Oryzias latipes: one gene and its partners. The protein of the gene in region 2 purifies or fractionates together with the protein of the main gene of each other region. This does not show direct contact. Links are inferred from orthologs where the notes say so. Each region holds a gene or a part of one and is shown on either strand. Other genes may lie near its edges. The genes, in order: bcap31, vdac1, rab2a, atp5f1c, sqstm1 and bsg.

Region 1 (3,500 bases), on a different chromosome or scaffold from region 2:
TGGAATTCAGCTTACTGCTTCGTCATAATCGTTTCCTTCAAATGGCTTTTGAAATTCCATCATTTTCTATCCCACTTTGTGCTCTGCAGAGGTGGGAGGAGCCAGCACTTATGTCTGGGATATCGGCAAATGATACTTAGGTAGAAGGAACTTTTCTTAAATCTGGCATCATTAGAAATCAGATGTTCTGTGACAAAAATATCCAGCAGCTTTCTTTCATGATTGCAGCAGAACAGCACTGAGGGTGTGGACCCCCACTTAAGAAGGGATGGAAAAAGAGCTGCAACTCTGTTTGCCAGAGGCATGATGGGATTGTTCTAGAGTGATCATATGGCTCATTCCGTTCAGTGTGGAGGTTTAGTAACTCGATGAAAAATCATGGGAATCCTGATATTTAACAGTTTTAGCTCTGACTTCTTGAATGTATATTTAAACATGTTCTAATGCACATGTGTCAAACTCAAGGCCCGGGGGCCAAATGTGGCCCTCCATTTTAATTTATGTGGCCCGCAAGAGACATAAGAGTTTTTAATTTCTTAAAATAAAAATGTTCTTTAGTTTATTACATATTATGTATGTGTAGCTGTTGTAATTGTTCAATGTTTGCAGGTCTGTATGCAGAAAAATTGTTGTCATCAAACCATCAGTTGGATGCAAAGCTGTGTGCAGCCTTTTTTTAGTAAAATGTTACACTATAACACATGTTCTTTTTAGCTCAGTTTTCTCTTATTTTTTTTCATTCACTTGGACAGTTTGATCCTTCATTAATGGAGTTATGTGGGTTTTAATAAACGGACAAAATGTAAAAGCATTTTTGCTAAAGTAACAAGCAAACATATGTTTTCTATGCAACTGTATTTGTCACTTTAAAAAGTTATAATAAATAAATAATGAGTTGTTTAACATTAAGGAGTAGTTACATTTATTTTTCATTACATTTAGTTACAGGTATAAGTTATATCTGGCCGTTTGAGGACAGCCACTATGCTGATGTAGCCCTCAGTGAAAATGAGTTTGACCCCCTGATGGGCAGAGTCCCAGCTGGTTGGAACTGTCTGCACTGGTCCTCTCAGGCTTCTGTCTTCACTTCTGTTCTTTCCACTCTCACAGGTGGAGCAAGGTCTTCAAGTCTCGCATCCTTCAGACCATCGCTCTCTATGGAAACACCTGGTTCATGGTGGCCATCGCCATCCTCGTCTTCCTTCTCATCGGTATGAGACTGTGTGAAGACAAAGGAAACGTACAGCTGCTGATGGCTGCGTTATGTTGACCTCTGACCTTAAATACCTTGATCAGTCTAAGGAGGATTGAAAGCTGAGTCTGACAACAGATTTTTTGTTTTTGTTTCTCCGTGTGAGGTATTAACCTGTTTTTTTGACACCAATAAGTTTGTGCAAATACCTAAAAAAAGAAGATACTTTTAAATAAAGTGAGAAAAAAGTCATTGAAATCGTTAAATGGCGCTTCTACATAGATAAATGGCACAATTAAAGATTTTACTCTTTTTAAAAAGTATTTTAGAAAGACAATTTTGATCAGAAAATAATTATCCTTGTTTTATTTAACGTATTGTCCAAAACTATAACATACAGCAATGCTTTTGGAAAAAGAATAAATAAAGAGGATTTTCTATTATGACGGGCAGACGTGCTCCAGTATGCAGCGGTTGAAGCAAAGCCCTCCTGGCTCTGCCTGCAGGGTGGAGAACCCTTCAGCCATGAACCGCCGTGAAGGAATCCACAGCCTCCTTTCTCCAACAGATCTCTGTTTGCTCCTCTGTCCGTCTCTGATGTGGCAGCAACGTTCTGAGGAGCGTGGGGCACTTGTAGCTTTCTGCCCTCCAGGGGGCGCTGCACTTTGAATGAGGAAAGCTTTTTACCTTTCTTCAGTTTAAAAGAAAAGCTCAGAGCTGTGAGCACCGTAACCATCCAAACATTCTCCAGATTTCTATGAAAAAAATGCTGTGAATTTAAAACACAGAGACGTAGCTTAGACTGCATGGAAGAGTGGACGTGCAGTGAACAGTGATGGCTTTATCACCGTTGTTTGAAAAGGTAATTTAGCTTTATGCCATAATGGAGGTGAATACTAGATGCTGATTGGCTGCAGGATGTCCATTAAGTAAGGGCTAATGCCTGACCTAAAGAGTCTGTTATCATAAATTTACGATAACGGACACTTTAGGTCAGGCAGTTTTCCTTACTTAACTCTCCCCTCTTTGTTTACTGGCAGCTGCAGTGTGGTGATGCTGCTCTATCCGAACACAAACGCACAACTACAACAGCTGAGCGCTCGCTGTGATTCAACAGTGACGTCCTACACGCTCAATGCCTGAGACCTGGTAGAAGCAGTTTCCAGTTTGCCAAACACATTTTTGCCATCCAGTTTCATTGAAACAAGTCAGAATCGATTAGTTTCTTCATGTTTCTCATCTTCTGTAGAAGAAGTTAAAGGGAACTGTCATTGATGCTGCGTTCACCGGGCTCTGCGATGCTCGTTCAAGCGACCACTTCCAATGAAAAGTCTACGTAACATATATGCACGTTTCAGGCTTCTGTGCTTAAAACGCTTGTGTTCAGGCGTAGCTAAGCAATTTTGTTTGTCCGCTTTCGAGCTCTACATACAAAACCTGCTGCCATTGAACATGTGTTGAAAGTTAAACCAGTTGAACTTTGACTAATCGGGGATTCTGATTTGACGGTGACGTGCGGGTAGCGTCCTTTCTAATCTCAGGGTGCCGACCGTTTGAAAATTGGTCATAAAGGAGGAATTAATGATTGCTGTTTGTACCCGGCCAGAATTCTGACACCAAGTCTCTCTAATATCAGAAAAATGTAGCAAGATGCACGTGATTTGCACTCCTTTGACATTTCGCACAAAACCTCCTCCTCCACATGAGCTAGTCGAATAGCGACAGCCTAGTGAGCACGTGCTAAAAGTGTACTCAAGAACCCGTGTTCAGCACGTTCTTGTTATGCGGGTCACATGTCCAATGTGTACTTACCTTGAGAGGTCTGTGTCGTTTCAAGCAGGCCATGTGGCCATCCTGTTTCCCAGCTTTCCCTAACTTACTGTGAACATTTCAAAAATACACGTTCACTGCAGCATCACGCCCTACTGAAACGATGAGGAGGAAAGAGCTTCTGTTCTTGTCAAGGATGAGTTTTTGACCCAAACTTTGAACAGCTGACCTTCAGGTTGTGCGTCAGCAGTGTGTGCGAGCGGTCACTGCATTGAAGGTGTGTTTGTGTGCAGATGCGTTCCGAGAGGTGAGGAAGTACAGTGTGTCGGACAAAGTGGACGTTACCAACAACCCAACCGCCATTGAGCACATTCACATGAAGCTTTTCCGAGCCCAGAGGAACGAGTACATCGCCGGCTTCGCCCTGCTGCTCTGCCTGTGAGTCTCCACACACTCCCACTCACCCATGGCACACTGATGGTATAGATCAGTTAATGTGTCTGCATTTCATTCAGATGACAGACGCGTTAATTTAAAT
Region 2 (4,181 bases):
TGAAAAAGGTTTAATGAGCATGTCTGATAAATGACAACTGAATCAGATAAAAGCTCTTATATCATGTCACAGCCTTTGCAGCTGTTGAGATGTTTGTTCAAGGCATTCTTACAGAACTGTCTATGTGCAACACCCTATTTAAAGGGACTTAATTGAAGTCAATGGAAAATCAGTGGTTGTCTATTTATACACAAACATAGCTCTACCCTGGCTTTTGTCAGAGCAGGTTCTGTAACATGGACCCAATACACCCATCAGGTTACAGTCAGGTTACATTTTTATACAGAAACTAGACGGTTCTAAAAACGTTTTGGGGATTACTTCACACCACAATAAAGACGAGCAACGAAACAAGGAAAGATTATTTAAATAAGAGGTGATGTTTGTATTAATAGTCCTGGAAAATTACAATAATCCCAACAAGTGTTATAGCTACTTTTATTTTACATGAAATCCAGACTTTTTGTTTTTTAATCTCAACTGTAATCCAAACCTTGGAGAATTCTGATTGGCTAATAAGGGCTCACCATATCCCTTTGTAAAGACATCCCTGGCAGACTTTCCAAGGTCAGCATAGGTGGGAGGTACAGCCATTTTCTGAAAACAAAAGAAAAAGCAGGTGTAGCCTGAGAACGGATTGAGAGTAACAGGAAGATGACGGGACAGGTGAAAGAAGTAAAAGCTTAACTTTAAAGACCTGCTCTGATCATCTTTTAAACCATATTAAAAGCTTCCCCAGGGGTCTTTTCATTTCTATGACATGGTTTATGCCTATCATCCATCTGTTTATAGGCGATCTCGGAAGCTTACAACCCCAACCTAATAATAAAAATGGCTAACAATATTCGAGCTATCTAGCTGTACAGTTTTGAGCCGGATGCCAGCTCAGTTGAGGAAAACTTAGGGCAGATGCATCAGAATGGAACCAAAGCTCAGTCAAACTGTAAACAAACCAAGACCACCTTAAAAATGGTCCAAGAGCAGTTCCTGGTCCTGAAGCAGGATCCACTAGTTGGGTGCATTCAGACTGAAAATTTGTTCCAGAATATCGTGGGGAAACGAACTCTGGTTCACTTTAAGCAGACCAAATGTATCCAGTCTGAATACCACCGAAGATTCAACCAAGTATTTTTAAACCTCTTTAAGAGTAGTTGAAAACAAATATCTGAAACTCTGTAAAACAGAGAAGTTCATGAGGACCATGGTGGTTGCTGGGTAGATTCTTTGCCAACCGCTTCATGGCGGCACTCAGACATTGGCACAGACCAGTTCTTTGTCCACCTCTTTCAAAACCAGTCATGCAAATATTTCATAATCGCCCCCACATAAAGAGACCCATTTACAGAGCACAAATGTAAATAAGGACTTGTGCAGAGTTAGCGACAACGTAATATCTAGTAGATATGACACGAATTTCAAGGGTAAGCTGAGCGAATGGCAGCTGGATCCTGAAAACTCCAACTAAATTTGCAGGTGTTTTTTTTTTAAATAATTCATTGAGATCTGAAGCAGCAGATTGGTATTCAAGTGGACCCCAGCTGAAATCAAAGCTTTGTATTAAACAGCATTAAGCACTTCACGGGAGCCAATCAGCAGCCATCACAAGTCCTATTTTATGCTTTTAGTAGATTTTCAATTCAAAATGCAGCAAACAACTACCACATTAAGTCCTTTATGTTTGCTCTATTCCTTTTTACGTCATTTTCAAACATCCCATCATTAGTTTTGGGTTGTTCTGGTGTCATTGCTAAAGTCTGTCAGTCCTTCTTAACATAGATGTGAAACCTCAGCCAGGAAACTGACTAGTATAATTCATGTGATGCCCCAGCTTCCCCCTGGAAATAGCCCATTCATTAAGCAGCTCAGACCCACTCGCAATGCTCAGACACGCCGTCTGCACTGGTACACCTGCTGTGTCTGCCGCGTGCTGGCGAGGCTTCACGCAGAAATGTCCGAACCCTAGAGAGGACGCACGAGGTCAAAGACACGACACTCCCTCCACAAAACCTAAACTGCTTTTATTTGACCGTTTTTCAACAAATGTGAAAGAAAAAAGGAAAAGGACCCTGCAATAATATTAACACGACAGGCAGGGACCACTCATAACATCTTTAGCTTAACTTTGAGCCGGCTTCCGAACGTCCTTCAGCATCACTCATGCGTTTTTTAAAGACATACAGCAGTAGCCAGGAAGAAAAGTGATTCCTGGAAAGTGTTTTGCATTGATTTTGCTCTCCTAAAAAACACCACGAAGGTGAACATTTCCCTGAAATGAAGGTTAAGAGGAGAGCATCCTCCTGACCTCGCCTGCTAACCGATTAGCACGCTGTTTAATGACGTAAAACAGAAATAAAAGTGGGTACAAATATAATAAAGTACAAGCTTCAAAAGAAGAAGCCGTTATTAGCTACTGCAGAATTTAAAGTGAAAATTAGACACACGATTTTCCAAACAGCAAAGCAGTTTTTTTGACCGCAGTGCGAGACATTAGCCACAAAGCTAGCCGCAGAGATGGCTTATAAAAGCAGAGGGCCTAACCATCCTGCTGCGTTCCAAACGTCAGGATGGCGGGACCATCCCGGGAGTCCGCGGCGAGGCGCGGCCCCGGTAACAGCCAGGAGCAGCTGCGGTCAAACGACGCCATTTTTAAATAATATTCAGAGGAAAGTCTAAAACGCCTACCTCCGTGGAACAGCCTGAACTGAGAATTGTCAACTGCACAACGACAGGGGAGGGAGAGGGGTAGCGTCACGCGCACGTTGAAAATCACGCAAACTCCGACAGCATGTCGTCATAAACAAAGATCCAATTCGGGCTCTCATTGCAAGACAGCTCACTCCAATTTTTTTTTGAAGCGCCAAATGTTAGTGGACACTATCTTCTTTTTATACATGTATTTAATGACATTACATAGATTAAATCAGTCACATTATTTTGACTGTTTAATTCTTTTGTACTCTTAGAATTTCATCAAGTAATTTTCCTAAAACAAATTCCAAACGAATCACTTCACTTTTAACAAATAGTAATGATGAGGACCTTTGCAAAGAATAAAATGTGATACATAGATTTTTTTAAAAAGAGCAGGTAAAACTCTGCAGACTAACGTTTGTGTTTAAAAAGCATTTTAACCAGCTAAAAAAGAGTTATCTCTATTTGTTTTTGTTTTTTTTGAATGGTAAATTTTTTTTTTACTTTTAAAAATTTAAACAGGTGTTTTGTTAGTAACAACTACTGAAATAGGATATCACATTTAGCAAAAGAAATTCTCAAAAGAAGAATTGGTAAATAGCTTTTCTTTCCCTTCCTCAAATTGTCTTGCTTTTCACAGGACACAGCATAAAAAGACTCATCACTGGATATCTAAAATTAAGATAAAATAAAAAAAAACTTGCAATAGAACATTAACAATTAGCTCATATAATAGCTTATATAACTACTGCATCAAAATATAATTTACAACTAAAAAAATGATTCTTGGAGATTGTTAAGGGATACTTCTTTTCAGCTCTAAAATAAAATTTCATTTAAAACTTGGACATCTCCATCCCAGTCATACCCATTTTTGTTTTGTTTCAATACTGTTTCACATGTTTTTAGGACTAAATGTGAGAAAGCAAAACCATTCACAGGTGAAACTTCCTCTCTCACAACAGTACTCACTGAAATCCTCAACTTCAAAAAGAAAAAAGGTTTATTGATTAATCTAGAAATTGCAGTGAATATATTAAATGAGGTTGTGGCTGTGTGTTTTTTTTGTCTGAAGTTTAAGGTTTAAAAGAGGTGGAGTCAGAGGTGGGGACTGTGATGGAGACGGCTGGAATCAGGTTGTAATCTATTATTTGACCAGTTGATGTCGCTGTTACCAAAATGTTGTCAAAACCTCCGTTTCCTGCTTAAATTAGAGTTGATGGTTCTTGGGTAAAATCCTACTCTTCTTCCTTTTGTTTGTTTTTTAGAGTCCACTCTTTGTTCTTTTGCAGCATTTCAACTCTAATTTCTTATTTTTCCTTTTCATATCAAATTAGCTTTCATTAAAACTTCTTACAAGTTTTGATATACAATTTTTTAATAGATACTAAAATCCCATAATATTGCCGTGTTTATTAGGTAAAGAGACATAAATTGTTAAATAATTACTTGCTAGTAAAATATTCTCTTCACAGATGTCTGCCTGATTT
Region 3 (4,150 bases), on a different chromosome or scaffold from region 2:
AAAAACAACAACACCAACGTTCAGTTCAGGTTCCTACAGAGTTTTGTGCTCCTTGTTCTGTTAATTTTTTTTTCTTGAATCATACAATTCTCATTAGTTCGCATGATATTACAATGTATTTTTGTTATCAGGAAGACTATGTCGGGATGACATCACATAATTAATAAATAAATTAAATGATAAAAGGTTATTTATATAATATTAATCATTTTTAATCTAACTTTTTATTCTGAAGCATGGGGGTGTAAACATCATGATTTGCAGCTGCTTTTCTTCAAAGCAGGACGACTGATCCGTATTAAGGAAGTGATAAATGGGGCAATGTATGGTGAGATTTTGGGCAAAAGCCTCCTTTGAGGCCCTCTGTGAGAGGATTTCGCATGAAGCATGTCTGGATCTTCCAGTATGACAGTGATCCCGAACACATCGTCCAAGCAATGAAGGAGTGGCAACAAAAAAAAAGCATATCAAGGTTCTGGAGTAGTCTATCCAGCCTCTGGATCTCAATCCAAAATAGAGAATCTGTGGAGGGAATTTAAACAGCAACAGCCCCAAAACATCACAGCTCTTGAGAAGATCTGTAAGGAAGAACGGACCAAAATAGCCGCTACAGTGCAAGCCTGTTGAATATTTCCAGGAAATACTTTGTCATTGAGGGTTTACAAATACTGAGGGGACATTTCTTTTCGACCAAATACTTGTTTTATAGATTTTATCTTCACCCTGTATAGACCCAAGCACGTTTTTTTTCTCCTTATAATTGCGTGGAGTCATGTTTTTTTCCTTTTTTTTTTTACATAGATGTTTTAGTCTGTTATTTGTAAGTATCTTTTTCTTCTTTTTATTGTATTTTTTTCTTTTTTAGTTTTTCTGAGCCACACAGGCACTACGTTTTCTGTTTGGTCCTTGTTTTCCCTTTTCTCTAAATACACAGCCTACAATTGTGGATTAAACTAACTGACCAAAGCTGGGTGTTGCTCATTCTTTTGTGCTTTCAGGACTTTCACATTACTAAAGTAAATACTATTATGAGTAGTCATTGTTATACCCTAAATTGATAATATAAGTTAATTGCAGTTTGTTGTACATTGTTCATTTTACATCATGTTTTACCTCTGCAGGTTTTAATGAAAGTATTAATGCTATTCAGGACTCGTGTACAAATCTGTTGTAAAATTACTTATGAAGAACAGTAGCATTAATCTTTAATGTGAAAAAAAGGTTGAAGGAAACTTTCACAAAACTTATCACGGGCATTTTAATAATATATTAACAAAACGAGATATAAAAAAATCACAAACACGAACACACACGACAAAACTCCTGAGCATGCCTTGAACGCATCATTGTGTAGCGTGGCGAGGGCGGAGCGTATGACGTCGAGCTGAAGCTCGAGCTGTTTATTGTTCCTTCCTGAGCACCGACAGAGAAAAACAAGCTGTCAGCTACTCATTTGATACGGTTCACGGCCCGTTTTACTAAGGTGTAACGGTTAAGAAAGCTGACTGTACAAAGCAGGTGCTATGGCGTACGCGTACCTCTTCAAATACATCATCATCGGAGACACAGGTAAGTAGCATCAAGTGCCAGCTAGACTCAGCGGTAGGCTATCTTTCAGTTAGCGGCTATTTCCGCAGTGTTGGATAGTCCAATGACGTGGTAAAAGCAGAGACGCAAGGGGTGGGATGACAGCTCCGATTTTCTCCCCCGTTTAATACATCCGAACCAAAACCAAAAAGAGAAATAAGAAAAATAAAAACGGTCGTTCCGTAACTAGCTCCCCCCCTCACCCCGGTGCCGTAGTAGCTGTTGACACCGGCAGACGTTGGGCCTTTTGTCTGCTTGCGTCGAGGGTGGGGGTGTTAGCCGCTAACTAGCATGCTAACTGGCTACACCTCTAGAAAAGATTACAAACAGCTGTCACGACAGCAAGTTAGCCTGTTTTTTCGTGTCAGTATACATAAAAATAAGTCGTAGCATTCAATTATTTTTGTTTCTGAAACATTATCTTTACTAGTTTTGGAATAATTTAAACTTAATATTAGACAGGGCCATGATAGCGTGAAGCTAAAGCTCGTAATAATTTTTCAAATGGCGTAGACAGAGCTTGTTGACTCTTAGTTTGACCACATCTATTTTCGCGGTTCACATGTCCCCACTATACTCGATTTCTGCTTTCTATTGGTAAACGTATTTATGGTTTGGTTACACAAATGTCTTCGAGTGTTATCCGCTTATTTTTTTGACAGATTGTATTGATGATGATGGGCCTGTTCAAATACACGAGCAGCAGGTGCATATGAAGAAGAACTGCTGTGACAAGAAAATCTAGAATCTTTAGTTTGACATAAGCAGATTCTCAGGAATGTGATGGGGACGTCTGATCTTTAATGGCTCAATCGGATAGAAATACCACGTTGGCTGAATGAAAATTAGACAGCAATTGAAGGTAAACACACCGAAAAATAAAACTTTAAAATCATAAACTAGCTCCAAACATTGTAGAAAAGATCCTTTCTTCTCTCTTCTGGACTACATGGTTCTTGCAGAAGAGGTTCATGTTTTTATTTGTTAATTTAAGAGGTTCATGTTTAGCTCGTTATCATTTATTCCTAGTTATCAAAGCTGTTTACAGCTCTGGCTAATATACCAGCTCAATTCGGAGGGTATTTTCAGAAAAACAGACCACACAGCTCACATCAGCGGGGCTAAGAGTCATCAAAATCTTGAAATGATAACCACAATATGTGAGTGTAAATTCTCCAGAACTCTCAGTTCTAGATTTCATAATGAAGATCCAGCGTAGAAAACTTGAACTGCAACTTTGTATATCCATTTTGGTTTAAACAGGTAATTTAAGGTTAATGGTTACCTTCTGGTGAAGGATTTTTACTTTACTGGGTCTTTAAAATTGTATAATTATTGCTTGGAGGAACATAAAACTGCAGTTCCAACTGCAGATTGTAATAATGAATCAAATCATGTGGTTTTAATAAAAATAACAGTAATTGCGTCATCAACAAAGGGGTTACTAGCTTGAAAAAAATTCCTTTTGCTCAGGTCATCAGCAGTAATTGGGTAAAACATTCTCTGTCTGAATTCACTCACTTCTCCCTCTTAAAAGACTATCCAGTGTCATTGATTTCACTTTTCACTTCAGTTTGGACCCATGATCACTACTTTTTGTAGTTTTTTTGTTGTTTTTTTAACTTAAAATATGATCTCACCCGTTTGTCAAAGTAAAAACCTTAAAAAATGTACATTCTACAAAGACTATTTATGAATCTATTGTGTTCTGATCATAAAAACTTAATGATTTATTTAAAAACAATGCATTCATTCAAATGACAAATTGTTCAAATGCAATGTATTGTTACCTGTTTTCGCCTATCCAGTGACCATCATGCACACTAGTTTTTTTGCAGAGGTTTCTTGGAAATTTCCAAGCCACTGGATTTTGGAATCATAGATTCATAGTGAGTAGTGTGTGAATTCTGACACTTTTTACTTTATTATAGATGGTAAAGTGACGAAAATATTGACGTTAATATACAGTGAAAAAAAATCATCACAATTGAAAATTTGAAATGTATCAGCATTGACAGAAGGAACATCGTCTTGGTAGTTTGGGGTAAAGTATTTTGATTTTACACATTCCTTTTTTAATGATAATTATAAATTGTTATTGGTATCACTTCTTTCTGTGCTGACAGGTAAAGAGACTATTTTTGACATAAATATTAAAGCCATGCTTTTCACTGGGCCACTTGTAATCACCTTTAATGTATCTTGTAAATCACAAACTAATTTCTCTGTGCGGATGCTAATTTGGTTATATGTAATGTGCTGTCCTGCATGCAGACATCCTGAGAAAGAAATCGTTTTCTTTGTACTCCTCGGCTGTATAAACTACACACTGAAGCATATCTTATGGAAATTTATCTGTTTTATGTTCATTTTTGACATCATAAATGAACTTTAAATCATTGGTGTTACAGGTAAATATCAAGGGATAGTGTTTAGGCTCTTGTTAATTTTTCATATCAGAAGTTTGATAAAAATTGTATTTCATTTTTATCCCCACTGAGTCCGTTTTCATTTAATTCCTTAAGAACAGAATTAACCTCATCTTTCATAAGAAAACTATAAT
Region 4 (4,020 bases), on a different chromosome or scaffold from region 2:
GGGTGTTTAATATATTGTTCAAAGGCATAAAGACGTAAATAAAGTCATCGTCATAAAGGGAAACTGTGTTCTTAGGACTTAGTTTAAGTGCTTCTCTGAAGGGTATTTTTCTCACCAAATCGCCTCCTGAGCAGCTCCAGAAAGTCGCGTTTGAACTCACTGAAACAGACAGCAACAGACATGGTAAACATCTTTAAGGTGAGTGTTAAAGCTCCAGTTGGGATGGTTAGTAGAGGACTCACTCTGAGAAATAGTCCATGAACTTTGTGGGGTTTTCTGAGGCGAGCAGCAGCTGCCTCTGGTGGGACTCGGACATGCAGTGACACTTGAAGCCATTCTAGACCCCAAAACAGAACAAAATCACCGTTTAAACTCTCCAACAACAACCAAAGGTGTAAAATAAGATCATAATATAAAAATCTCACCTCGTCTCGACATTGTTTCTGACACATCTGACAATACCATCGCAGCTTCTGTAGACCTTTGGCTTTTATTCGGTTGCTGATCGATTTCGGGGTCAAAAACTCCGCTTTCCCCATTTTGATCTGTTAAAAAACACAATTAAACCTGTAAAAAATATCAAATCTGGGTATATTTTCCCGAATATTTTGAGATAAACCGAGGAAGCAAGCTAACCGTTTCCGCCGACAGACGTCACACTGTCGCAAAAGTACAAAATCCCGCGATAACAATTGATACCTTCATGGACTTCTCACGAGCTCCGGATTTTAAAAACTTCATACGCCAGAAGCAGTGTGATGAGTTTAAACAAGAAGAAAATCATTGTGCTTTTCTCAGTGATCTTATGAATGATATGGATTATTTAAAGCCTGTGTTTATTTAGCAATATTACAAAAAAGTTTTTGTTTACATAAAATTCTTTAAGGTTTTGATTTGCTTGTAGTTCAGTTATTTGTGTTAATATTTTCCTTTCTGTGCTAAACCTTAAATGCGCGATTTAAACATGCGTTTTGATTTGCTCTACCTGTTAAAATGATAAATAGGTAAAGACTCTGCTTAAGAGTATTTCTGTAAAAAAATAAAATATATAAAAATACATCAAATTTAATGGTTTTATATTAAGAAACGCGGGCTCATTTTTTCCAATCATTTTTATTTTAATGTCAATAAAAAAATTCACATGTGGACATATACAAAGAGCTTTTGATTTTGAAAACCAATGCAGGAAAAAGTTCCCAGTGGTCCTTGAAGTTATCATCCGACAAGCGTAGGCTTGCGCGTGCGCAGTTCTGGGTGTCTGACCTTCATCGCTGCAGCCATGTTCGCCCGGAGCAGCGCTTTGGTTTTCCTCCCACAATGGTAAACCCAAATACCATCAAACATCACATTTATTTTATTTTTATTGTCTTTTTAAATCAAACCTAAATTCTAAAGTGTTGTAGAAACGAAAATGTGGCTTATTGAATTCAGGATTTGCACATCAGTTGTACAAGGACGTGCTAAGAGAGGCAGGCCGCAGCTAATGAATGAAGCTAACTCAACCGGCTATGCTAATGACAGCGCTAACTTAATTTGCTGTAACTTTTGAAATGTAACACAAAGTCTATAAATAGATGCTGTATCTCTGTACATGTGTATTCCAACAGCAGATGCTTTTACAGTAGTTTTTTTCTGTTTGTTTTAGCCTTTTTGCGTTGCATTAGCGTTAGCTGCTAAGCTAATAAGGATACTACCTAGCAAATATCTTTAGGACGCCACAGTTCTTATATCATAAAATGCTACATGGTGTCTGCGAGAGGACAGAAAGTCCAGCTCTGCACTGAAATCTGTACATGAATGGAAGTGAATGAAACGCTAACGTGAACTGATTGTGTTCGCAGTGGGCAGGTCAGGAACATGGCCACCTTGAAGGACAGTAAGTGTTTATCCCCAAAGCTAAAATGCTCCATTTGGTTGTCTGTCTGCACGGTTTCATTGTTAAACAACTTTATGTCTTTACTTTTATTGTGAAAAATTACATATGTCAACATAACGGAGCATCTCTGAAGACTGTCATTCATTCGTGATGATTTCCTAACAAAATAAAAGCCTGGATTGTTAAGATGAACTCTTTCTGAGACTTATTTAGGTATAACTGAGCATCTCCAGGATGGTTTGATATAAAAATAAAAGCCTGTAATTTCCAGGTTACCCCTGAAGATTTAATTTAGTTATAACTGAGCTTTAGAAAGTAAAAACAAACAAACTGCGTAGTGAAAATTGTTATTGTTTCTTTTTTTTAGAGAAAAAAATAAATAAAACAAATGAACTAAATTAAACGATGTGACAGATGATTTCACTTAACCAATTATTAAAGTAAAGTGAATTCATTTCCTGAATTTGTAAAAAATAAATATGGATTTAATGTTATTTGTATTTTGCAAACCCATATCTGCTCGTTAACTAACTTGTCATGTTTTGCATCTGAAAGAACTTGAGAAGAAAAACTTAACTTGACGAATAAAGTTTTTACAAAGGCTTAATTGTGTTTCGTGTTTGATCATGTGACCGCTCTTCTCCTTTAGTCACCCTTCGGCTGAAGTCCATCAAGAACATCCAGAAGATCACAAAGTCCATGAAGATGGTGGCCGCTGCCAAATACGCCCGCGCTGAGAGGCAGCTGAAGCCGGCCCGCGTCTACGGCACCGGAGCTCTAGGTGTGTGTTGGCGGTGACGCCGCGGTTGCTGTGGCGGGCGCCGTGCTGAAAAACGTCTCTTCTTCTGCACGACAGCGCTGTACGAGAAGGCTGACATCAAGGCGCCCGAGGAGAAGACCTCCAAGCACCTGCTGGTCGGCGTGACTTCTGACCGTGGGCTCTGCGGCGCCATCCACTCCGGTGTGGCCAAGGTCATAAAGAGCGAGATCGCCAACCTGACCAGCGCCGGCAAGGAGGTGATGGTGGTCAACGTGGGAGACAAGCTGAGAGGCCTCCTGCACAGGTTTGAGAGGTTCTGACGGTTCTCTCAGGATTCAGACTCGCCTTGGCTTCATGATCCGTTGATCCGAGCAGAACCCACGGGAAGCACATCATCCTGAACTGTAAGGAGGTCGGCCGCATACCCCCCAGCTTCAACGACGCCTCCATCGTCGCCACCGAGCTGCTCAACTCCGGATACGAGTTCGACCAGGGCTCGGTCATCTTCAACAGATTCAGGTGTGGACCCCGCCCCTTTTATCTGGCGCATGCCACAAGTATTGCTTTGAATCCCGGACTAACTAACCCCCCCCCCCCCCCCCCCCCCCCCCCCGCAGGTCCGTCATCTCCTACAGGACGGACCAGAAGCCGCTGTTTTCCACGGACATCGTGGCCAACTCAGGTAGAAGAAACTCAACTTTGACCTTTCTCAGTCGGAGCCGCAGATCCCGAACGTGCCCCCCCCCTCTTCCACAGAGAGCATGGGGATCTATGATGACATCGACGCTGACGTGCTGAGGAACTACCAGGAGTTCGCTCTGGTCAACGTCATCTACCTGGCAATGAAGGAGTCTTCCACCAGCGAGCAGAGCGCCAGGATGACGGCCATGGACAACGCCAGCAAGAACGCCTGTGAGCCTCTTTCAGATCCGTTTTTTTTTTTAAATGTACTTCTTGTTGTGTTTATTTTTACTCACTGAGTTCATTTTATTGATCAAGTGTCGTTCTGTTTGAAAGCTGTCCGTGCACACGTGTTGGAGTGCACGTGCAGCTGCAGACAGACACTACTGAGCATGCTCGGGACGAGCATGTGTCATTCAAGGACTCGTACTTCATTAACATGTAGATGTTAAACGTGCTCTCGTGATCTATAATTAGTGGTTATTTAGTGAACAGGCCTGGCTACAGTTGATTGTAAATGAGCTTCAACCTGGAAGTCAACAGCCTCATGTGAAGCACAGGTTTCCTCCTCCAGGAACATCTAAATTTCACAACTTTTTAGTAGTTCATTGAAAACAGTGTTGGTCATAAAGGGTTGAACTGCATAAAAACTCATTGACTGAAGCTGAGGGGGGCGTGGCTACCTTAAACAAAGATTTATTTA
Region 5 (4,099 bases), on a different chromosome or scaffold from region 2:
TACACACAACTGAACAAAGCATGCAAATTCCCCATGTTGGTGAATTAATCATTAAGATTTGAAGAGAAGACCTAAAGGTGGACAGAATATCAGGAGATTTCCTCATAAACATTGACTATGAATTTATCATTACTGGTAGTTTACAGATGTAATCCATTTACTACACTTCTGAAAATTGTTTTTCTTTTTTTCCCTCTGAATAGGAAAAATAACTGAAGAATTTTAGACATCAACTCCCTCTCAGTGATCCAGGACAAATAATGGTAGACATGAAAAATGCTTACAGTTAACTAATCATGAGTATTTACTAGAATACAATATATTAGTCTTCATGCAGCTATTTTAACCTTCCATTAGGTCTCTTTGGCTTTAAACAAAAAACCCTGATGATTTCAATAAACAATGGCGTTGTAGTTTTGGTTTATTTATTTAAGTAAAGTTGTATCTTAGGTTTAGATTGTTCACTTGTCTTCGATGTTATAAGGCCTGATTATTTATTATTATTTTCTTGTGACAAACTTTTTTCCTTTTGACTTGGAAGTAATCTCTAAAACAATAATAATTTTAAAGAATAAATATTACATTATAACATTAACAAGAATAACATAAAAATGTAGGCTCCTCCTTGAACAGCTGAGAAAAAATGAATTACAAATTTCAAAAACATATAACGTTTTTTTTCTCCAAAAGAAAAAATCTAATGAAGTTTAACTGTTTTAAGGAAAAAAATTCCAATGTTAAATGAATTATTTATTTAAAATAACTGACATTTTATGGTTAGTTACTAATTTCTCTTTAATGAACTTCCATAGTTTTAAATTGAAAAGATTAAATTTTTTCCCTTGTTTAGTCTGAAACACTAAAAGTACTGAAGCAGTCTAGAACTTTCCTACTAATTCTAGAAGGATCCATTCCGATGGGCCACAGGTTTGATAAACACAGGAGGACGTCTCTAGGCGATTCATCGTTTCCGTGTTTTCATGGCCGCAGTCTGCCTTCTCACGGTGACTCCGCGATGTGTGTGAACTGTCTGCTGGGATCCTGATCACGTGACACACAAGACGGCCTCTGATTGGACCTCTGGAACCGGCGTTCCTTTTACACGGACCAATCCGCGGCTGCGCAACTGTTAACAGAATCACGTCACCTGCGGAAGTAAACATAAAAGAGGCTGAAATTTATCGCTGCGTCACAAACTGGGATTTTTCTTGGACTGTTCAAGTGACGGTTTTGCGTCTGTGTCTCGGTCCTGCTCCCGGTGTCAGAACTTTGTGGTTCGGAGTCCACAGCAGCAGCAGCATGTCTGTGACGGTGAAGGCTTACCTTCTGGGGAAGGACGAGCATGTGAAGGAGATCCGCCGCTTCGCGGTGGACCAGGACGTGTCCTGCAACTTCGAATATCTCAGCAAGAAAACCGCGGCGGTCTTCTCCAACCTGATGAACTCCTCCTTCAACCTCTTCTACAAAGGTGAGCCGCATGGGCCGGGTCAGACAGAGCCGGGATCCGCTGGGTCTGATCGGAACCGTCATACTCACTAACCTGGAACCGAACTTTTTGTCAATACTTTATTAAACAGCCGCAGTAACGCGGAAGACCAACTTAGAGAAACATTCGAGTATATAGAAGGACTGTAGACATTTGAATCTGTACAAACATAATCCGCCCACTGACTTATTTAAGAAACAGCTAATTTAAAGGGATTGCTGTCACGTGACGCATGTAGCCACGCCCACAAATTTCTGTCCTTTGATTTGTGCGCAATTGAAAATATTCAGTTGATCAGGAGGCCCGAAGTTTAGACCCCCCCCCCCCCCCCACACCCACACACAAACACAGGCGGAGTAGGTGGGACCTTATGACGTAGAGGGGAGGAGCTTCAGGTGTGATTCCGGTTTATATTTCAGATGAGGATGGAGATTTGGTGGCCTTTTCTTCTGATGATGAGCTGATGATGGGCCTGGGCTGCGTGAAGGACTCCACCTTCCGCCTCTACATCAAAGGTAAATGCACGGCCTCCTGTGTGAGATCAGAGTGACCTCCCAGCAGTCCTCCCTCACGGTTTTTTTTTTTTTTTTCTTCCTGAACTCTGACAGAGAAGAAGGAGCACCGCCGTGATTTCCCACTGCATGCCCTACCCCCTTTCATGTTTGGACACCCACCACCCCATGGCCCCCCTCATGCTCCACATCACGGCCCTCCCCCCGCCCTGCACCCTAACGTCACCTGTGACGGCTGTGAAGGGCCGGTTGTGGGAATGCGGTTCAAGTGCTCCGTTTGTCCCGACTACGACCTTTGCTCCACCTGCCAGGCTCAAGGGAAGCACACTGAGCACGCTTTGCTGCCCATCTGGCACCCCCTGCAGGTGAGTTACTCCATCTAACCATCTAATCGTCTTTCCACTTCTGTCTGGACATCGTGCTGATTTAAAAGAAAGGACTTTTTGGTCAAAGCCAAAATGCACTGACTGAACCAGAAACTGTGTCTGCAGTGGTTTCCCCGTGGAAAGTGGATGAAGAGAATGAGACACTGCATGTGGAACCAGAACCAGAATCAAAACCAAAACCCAGAGCAGCAGGAACAGCAGGACCAGCCAAGGCCATCAGCATCTTCGGGTGACGGTGGAGAACCATCAGGTGAGAGAAACTCAAAAAACGTTTGAGCCTAGGGCATTAACATGCTCCCACCTTAACCTCTGACCTCTGCAGCTTCCCAGGCTAGTGTGGACTTCCTGAAGAACATTGGGGAGGGGGTTGCCGCCATGTTGAGCCCCCTGGGTGAGTGTACATAGTGGAGTTGCTGTTTTTGGGGGACAGGCAGGAAGTGATGTCATGATTTCCATGCAGGAATCGACGTGGACATTGATGTTGAGCATGACGGGCAGAGGTCGAAGGTGAATCCACCCACTCAGGCTGGAGGGGGGGATGACAATGTGGCAATGGATGTAAACGAAGGGGAGTCTGCAACTGCTGAGAGGTCAAAGGTCAGTCTGTGTTCACTGATCAATGACTGAAATGAACGTGTCAACAACTGACCCTCGTCCCCACGTACACGCAGGCAAGCCGGGACTCTGACGAGGAGTGGACTCACCTGAGCTCCAAAGAGGTGGACCCGTCCACGGGGGAGCTGCAATCCTTAGACCCCAAGAACCACGAGTGCGAGCTGCCGTCGGGAGGGCAGCAGGGGCCCCCGTCGGGAGGGCAGCAGCCGTCGGTAGGGCAGCAGGGGCCCCCGTCGGGAGGGAAGCAGGGGCCCCCGTCGGGAGGGCAGCAGGGGCCAACAGGTCTGCGGGAGGCTGCGCTGTACCCCCACCTGCCTCAAGGTGAGTCTAGTTCTCACAAGTATCATTTGCTATGACTGTTGCCCTCTTGTAAGCTCCTCCCTCTGCCCCCCACAGAGGCGGACCCCCACTTGGTGGAGTCTCTGGCTCAGATGCTGTCGATGGGCTTCACTGATGAGGGGGGCTGGCTCACCAGACTCCTCCAGGCCAAAAACTTTGACATTGGAGCGGCTCTGGACGCCATCCAGTACGCCAAGCAGCCCCGCCCACCACAGTGACCGCACCAGCTGCTTTATTTAACCTGAGTTTCTATCTGTTCAACTGTTAATCAACTCCTTAACCTGTTTCTGTCTTTTATTAATCTGTTTCTGAACAATAAAAACATGAAGGAATCCGAGTGGGTGGAGTCTTGATACACACCTGTACTGCCAAGTGCACAGCAGGCTGCTTTTGAGAACCAAAACAGTCCAAATGAAACACTAAATGTAATTTTATATCACCTGTTTCCACGGCAACACCTCCACCAGCAGCACACTTGAACCAGACTACACATAGGAGCTGCTAGAAGTCAATACTGAAGTCTTCCTCAGTTTCGAACAGGGAGGAAACACTGAGTCCTGGGTGGGGCATGTTGGGGGCTTGACTCCGCCCACAAGCTGGAGGCTCCTCCTCTTGGATTTCGGAATCAGATTTGAGAGAGCAGGCTGAGCTAAAGGCGCGGGGATGGAAGTGAGCTTCATCAGCAGAACGTCTCATTGCTGGACCAATCAGCTGCAGATAAAGAACACAGTAGTGAAAGTTGGATGACAGAAACACCAGAA
Region 6 (3,500 bases), on a different chromosome or scaffold from region 2:
CTCAGTTGTGAGAAGACGATAAAAAACAAATTGAAGTGGTCTTGGCTGGAAAAAAAAAAAAGATTTTTAAGGTAGTGTAGGTCAAATACTTTTTTGTGTAAAATAATCTCAAAACCACATTTTGAAATAATTTCAATTTTAGTTTTGAGTTTCAGTTTTTATTTTGAATACATTTCTTTATCTAATTTATTTGTATTTCCTAATTACCACGATTTAGTTCAGTATAGTTGACATTCTTCTTCTTCTTCCACTTTCGGCTTCTCCCATCAGGGGTCGCCACAGCGAACAAGTCGCATGGTAAATTTGGCAATGTTTTACGCCGGATGCCCTTCCTGACGCAACCTTCTCAAACTGGGCTTGGAACCGGCAAAGGTAGAGAAGGGAACAGGGAGCAGCCCGGAGTCGAACCCGGGTTTCACGGACGGAAGGCGCCACAAACCATAGTTGACATTAATTATAAGTATTTGATGGTTTGGACCCGCACTCCCTTAAAAAATAATGTTTACAATGTTTAGCTTAGTTTGTATGTTTGTTTTGATATTTCCCAGATTACTTAGTATTGGTGTTAAAGAATTGATGTATTATGTTATAGAATTATAGTTTAAAGCAGATCCCATATTTTGATGTAATTATAGTTTGAGAAAACAGTGCAAGTGGATGTTGTACATCAGTCATTTCTAAAGCAGAAATAATGTATAAATAACTGAGGTATTTTCATAGAATATCATAGTTACTGGTGTTCTTTTTGCCATTTGGGGCTTTGATGTTACTATATTTTAGCAATTGTATGTTTTGCAGCTTTAAGGAAAAGCGTAGATTGTAGGATTGTGTTACTTTGAGCAATTTTCCAAATTCTTTTTTAGGACCAGCAAGTCTTTAATGGAGAGTCAAACTAGGGGTTTGAATGACAAATCATGATGCTCCAATTAGTCTTAGTTTCTTGATAAAGAAGTGAATAACTAGCTGCCAGAATGCACCAGAATGCATCTAAGACCACGTATTTTTCCAAAATTTCGCTCTGTGCCCGCCATATCGCTCAAAGAAAAGTTCAGGGATTTTTTCCTTGCCTGACTTTCATCACTGCAGTTTGTTAAAGTAAAACGCATACTTTTGATGTTTTAAAAACAAAAGTTGTTAAATGTCTAGATTTACGCTGCTGTTAGGTGGAAAAGGTTCTTTTCCTCTTACTAACACTGGAAACGTTCCTTTTTCCTCTGCTTATAGACATTTTTCTAGTTTAGATTCCCATTAGCTCAGAAGAAGACAACAGACTGTAAAATATGTGCATCCACACAGCATTTTTCTTTCTGTCTTCCCGCTTGTATTTGAAATAAAACATTTGATTTAAGGTTAAATTGCTGTGCTGTAACCTCTACTGTTTAGCAAACTTTGTTGCTTCTTCTGCATGTATTGAAGACACCTCACACACACACCCTCGTGACCCTTCTGTAGCATTGTTTCCACTTCCCTTTTTGTTTTGTCATCAACTGGAGAAAGCTCGTCACTTGGAGGAGCTTTCTCCATCTCCTCCTTTGAGTAGAATAGGATGAATAGCAACAACCGTCTGTTGTGGCCCATATTTACACATTAGTTACTGTAAATATGGAACGATTTGGAACGGCCAATGCTTGTGTTTAACAACATTCACGTGGGTGACATAAATGGTGATTATACAGCTGTGTATGGAGCTGTTTTATATGGTCTTTTTTTGTTTTGTTTTGTGAAGAGCCACGTATCTTGAAATCTCCTGATGTGGTCAACCAGACTTCTGCCAGTCTCAGCTGCAACTTGACCAGCACTAGCCTCCAAAGTTCTGGATCCTTCTGGACGCACAACGGCAAACTCATTGATGGTTCAAAGTCTGCTTCTGCTACTAATTATGCAGTTCATCGGTAAGAAAATGCAGCAGCTAAAAGCTGAATGGGAAGATGTGCAGTTTCTCTTGTCATTGAATTTCCTGTCCAACTGAAATGGTTTACAAAAACGCATTCCTTCAACGAGAATGTATACTTTCTAGACTTTCTCTCTCATCAAAGTGCTGTTGCATCATCTAGTTTTCTATCTCTGGTTTGCTGCTCCCAACTATTCTGCCTCTGGTTGCATCCATGATGTATAGATGGACCGTGAAGACATTCGGCTTCACTCCAGGGCAAAGGGCGCCAATTTTTTTCCTGACCTTAATTTCCTATTTACATAACAAAAAGGCTTACTATAAGTACACTATATTTGTGTTTTAAGCCGAAGGGAAAAAAATACTGTTTGAAAAAGATCGTATTTCTGATGTAGAAATCGTGCTAGGTGAGCCACTGCGGCAATTTTTAATGACTTCCTGTCGCTCTGCAGAAACTCTTACATTTGGACCAAAAACACCACACTCATGGTAAAAAGACAACTGAGATCACTTTGAAAATTAGGGGTGTAACAGTACAAGTTAAGCTGAACTGTTTCGGTATGGCACGTTTTTGTCCGTGCCCTATACTCTGCACGACCCCATGCAGTCTCAAAGAGCATACAAGCTGTTTTTTTTAACTTTTTTGAAATTTTGAACACATACAAACTTCGTAACAACATTAACGTCACTTCTCTTCACAGCTCCCTGTCTAAAGGCCCGTACACACCGGGATGAATATTCGCCAGGCGTTATTCGCCAGCGTTTTTCGCCACGTCTTTTGTGTTCACACCCAGGCGATTTTCGCTGACGATGAGCCGAGCGTGCATGAACATGCAATTTCCTTCCCTGACATTAGATGGCGCTTAATGTAAACAGAAATACTCCTGTACACAAGGTGGCGCTGCGCAACTTTAGGCTTCTTAAAGTCGCTTTTCACTCAGAAGAAGAGAGCAAGTATTTACGCGCTAGTCAGAATAATAAAAAGAAAACATGAATATTTCAAGCACCAGTAGCTCCAACTGGTACTTGGTAAGGGATATTTAAGAATGTCCGTCATTATTTCTTCGCGGCAGTGTAGACGCTACTTGACGTCTATCTTCTTCGCTGGTATGTGTGCTCAGCAAGGCAGTTTTGTGTTTGAGCGCCCCCAAGTTGTGTTTTACTGTAACTTCAGAAGCCCCAGACACGTGTGCAAAAGCGCCATTCTCATTGGTCGAATAGATGTCGCGTCGAAAAAACAAACAAACCCGAGGCGTTTTTTTTTTTGACGCTTTGACGCGTGGCGTTTTTTCGCGTCGGTGTGCACACTCACATTGGTGCCCTTTGTTTATTCACGAGGCGTTAAACGTCCCGGTGTGAACGGGCCTTTATGGTGAGGGATTCAACACACAAGATACCACACTTCCTATGAGTCTTAGTGGCTATAGGCGGGGCTAACCCCCAGGTCGCCACAGTATTATCCTTGCACAGAGGCGCAACTAATGTTAGCCGTGAGTTTCTGCAAAGATGCTATTAGGTGACGGACAGTAAGCATGTCAACATATGGCTAATGCAGATGTGAGGCCAGAGATGAGCACCCCCCCCCCCCCCCCCCCATCTCCTTACGCTC

Evidence for each region.
Region 1: the proteins of vdac1 (region 2) and bcap31 purify together in Homo sapiens (affinity purification with western blotting; 3 studies listed by BioGRID, with this or other methods). This does not show direct contact. The link is inferred for Oryzias latipes from reciprocal best matches to the Homo sapiens genes VDAC1 and BCAP31.
Region 3: the proteins of vdac1 (region 2) and rab2a purify together in Homo sapiens (affinity purification with mass spectrometry; 3 studies listed by BioGRID and IntAct, with this or other methods). This does not show direct contact. The link is inferred for Oryzias latipes from reciprocal best matches to the Homo sapiens genes VDAC1 and RAB2A.
Region 4: the proteins of vdac1 (region 2) and atp5f1c fractionate together in Homo sapiens (co-fractionation; 3 studies listed by BioGRID, with this or other methods). This does not show direct contact. The link is inferred for Oryzias latipes from reciprocal best matches to the Homo sapiens genes VDAC1 and ATP5F1C.
Region 5: the proteins of vdac1 (region 2) and sqstm1 purify together in Homo sapiens (affinity purification with mass spectrometry; 3 studies listed by BioGRID, with this or other methods). This does not show direct contact. The link is inferred for Oryzias latipes from reciprocal best matches to the Homo sapiens genes VDAC1 and SQSTM1.
Region 6: the proteins of vdac1 (region 2) and bsg purify together in Homo sapiens (affinity purification with mass spectrometry; 3 studies listed by BioGRID, with this or other methods). This does not show direct contact. The link is inferred for Oryzias latipes from reciprocal best matches to the Homo sapiens genes VDAC1 and BSG.

The regions. Positions count from the first base shown.
Region 1 is NC_019865.2:31,911,399-31,914,898, reverse strand, and holds part of bcap31 (B-cell receptor-associated protein 31), read left to right. Parts: intron 1-1,110; coding exon 1,111-1,211; intron 1,212-3,255; coding exon 3,256-3,400; intron 3,401-3,500. UniProt on the Homo sapiens protein: Functions as a chaperone protein. Is one of the most abundant endoplasmic reticulum (ER) proteins.
Region 2 is NC_019872.2:4,158,087-4,162,267, reverse strand, and holds the start of vdac1 (voltage-dependent anion-selective channel protein 1), read right to left. Parts: upstream 2,801-4,181; 5' UTR 2,683-2,800; intron 598-2,682; 5' UTR 595-597; coding exon 528-594; intron 1-527. UniProt on the Homo sapiens protein: Non-selective voltage-gated ion channel that mediates the transport of anions and cations through the mitochondrion outer membrane and plasma membrane.
Region 3 is NC_019875.2:20,930,226-20,934,375, forward strand, and holds the start of rab2a (ras-related protein Rab-2A), read left to right. Parts: upstream 1-1,350; 5' UTR 1,351-1,523; coding exon 1,524-1,569; intron 1,570-4,150.
Region 4 is NC_019881.2:22,190,559-22,194,578, reverse strand, and holds the start of atp5f1c (ATP synthase subunit gamma, mitochondrial), read left to right. Parts: upstream 1-1,220; 5' UTR 1,221-1,279; coding exon 1,280-1,320; intron 1,321-1,841; coding exon 1,842-1,876; intron 1,877-2,525; coding exon 2,526-2,657; intron 2,658-2,732; coding exon 2,733-2,940; intron 2,941-3,011; coding exon 3,012-3,155; intron 3,156-3,253; coding exon 3,254-3,318; intron 3,319-3,392; coding exon 3,393-3,548; intron 3,549-4,020. Other genes in the region: kin (DNA/RNA-binding protein KIN17), read right to left, coding at 116-159, 243-337, 426-539.
Region 5 is NC_019868.2:3,816,862-3,820,960, reverse strand, and holds sqstm1 (sequestosome-1), read left to right. Parts: upstream 1-1,299; coding exon 1,300-1,468; intron 1,469-1,905; coding exon 1,906-2,001; intron 2,002-2,094; coding exon 2,095-2,363; intron 2,364-2,489; coding exon 2,490-2,634; intron 2,635-2,706; coding exon 2,707-2,775; intron 2,776-2,844; coding exon 2,845-2,981; intron 2,982-3,055; coding exon 3,056-3,320; intron 3,321-3,395; coding exon 3,396-3,556; 3' UTR 3,557-3,670; downstream 3,671-4,099. Other genes in the region: mrnip (MRN complex-interacting protein), read right to left, coding at 3,840-4,049. UniProt on the Homo sapiens protein: Molecular adapter required for selective macroautophagy (aggrephagy) by acting as a bridge between polyubiquitinated proteins and autophagosomes.
Region 6 is NC_019862.2:7,117,246-7,120,745, forward strand, and holds part of bsg (basigin), read left to right. Parts: intron 1-1,726; coding exon 1,727-1,892; intron 1,893-3,500.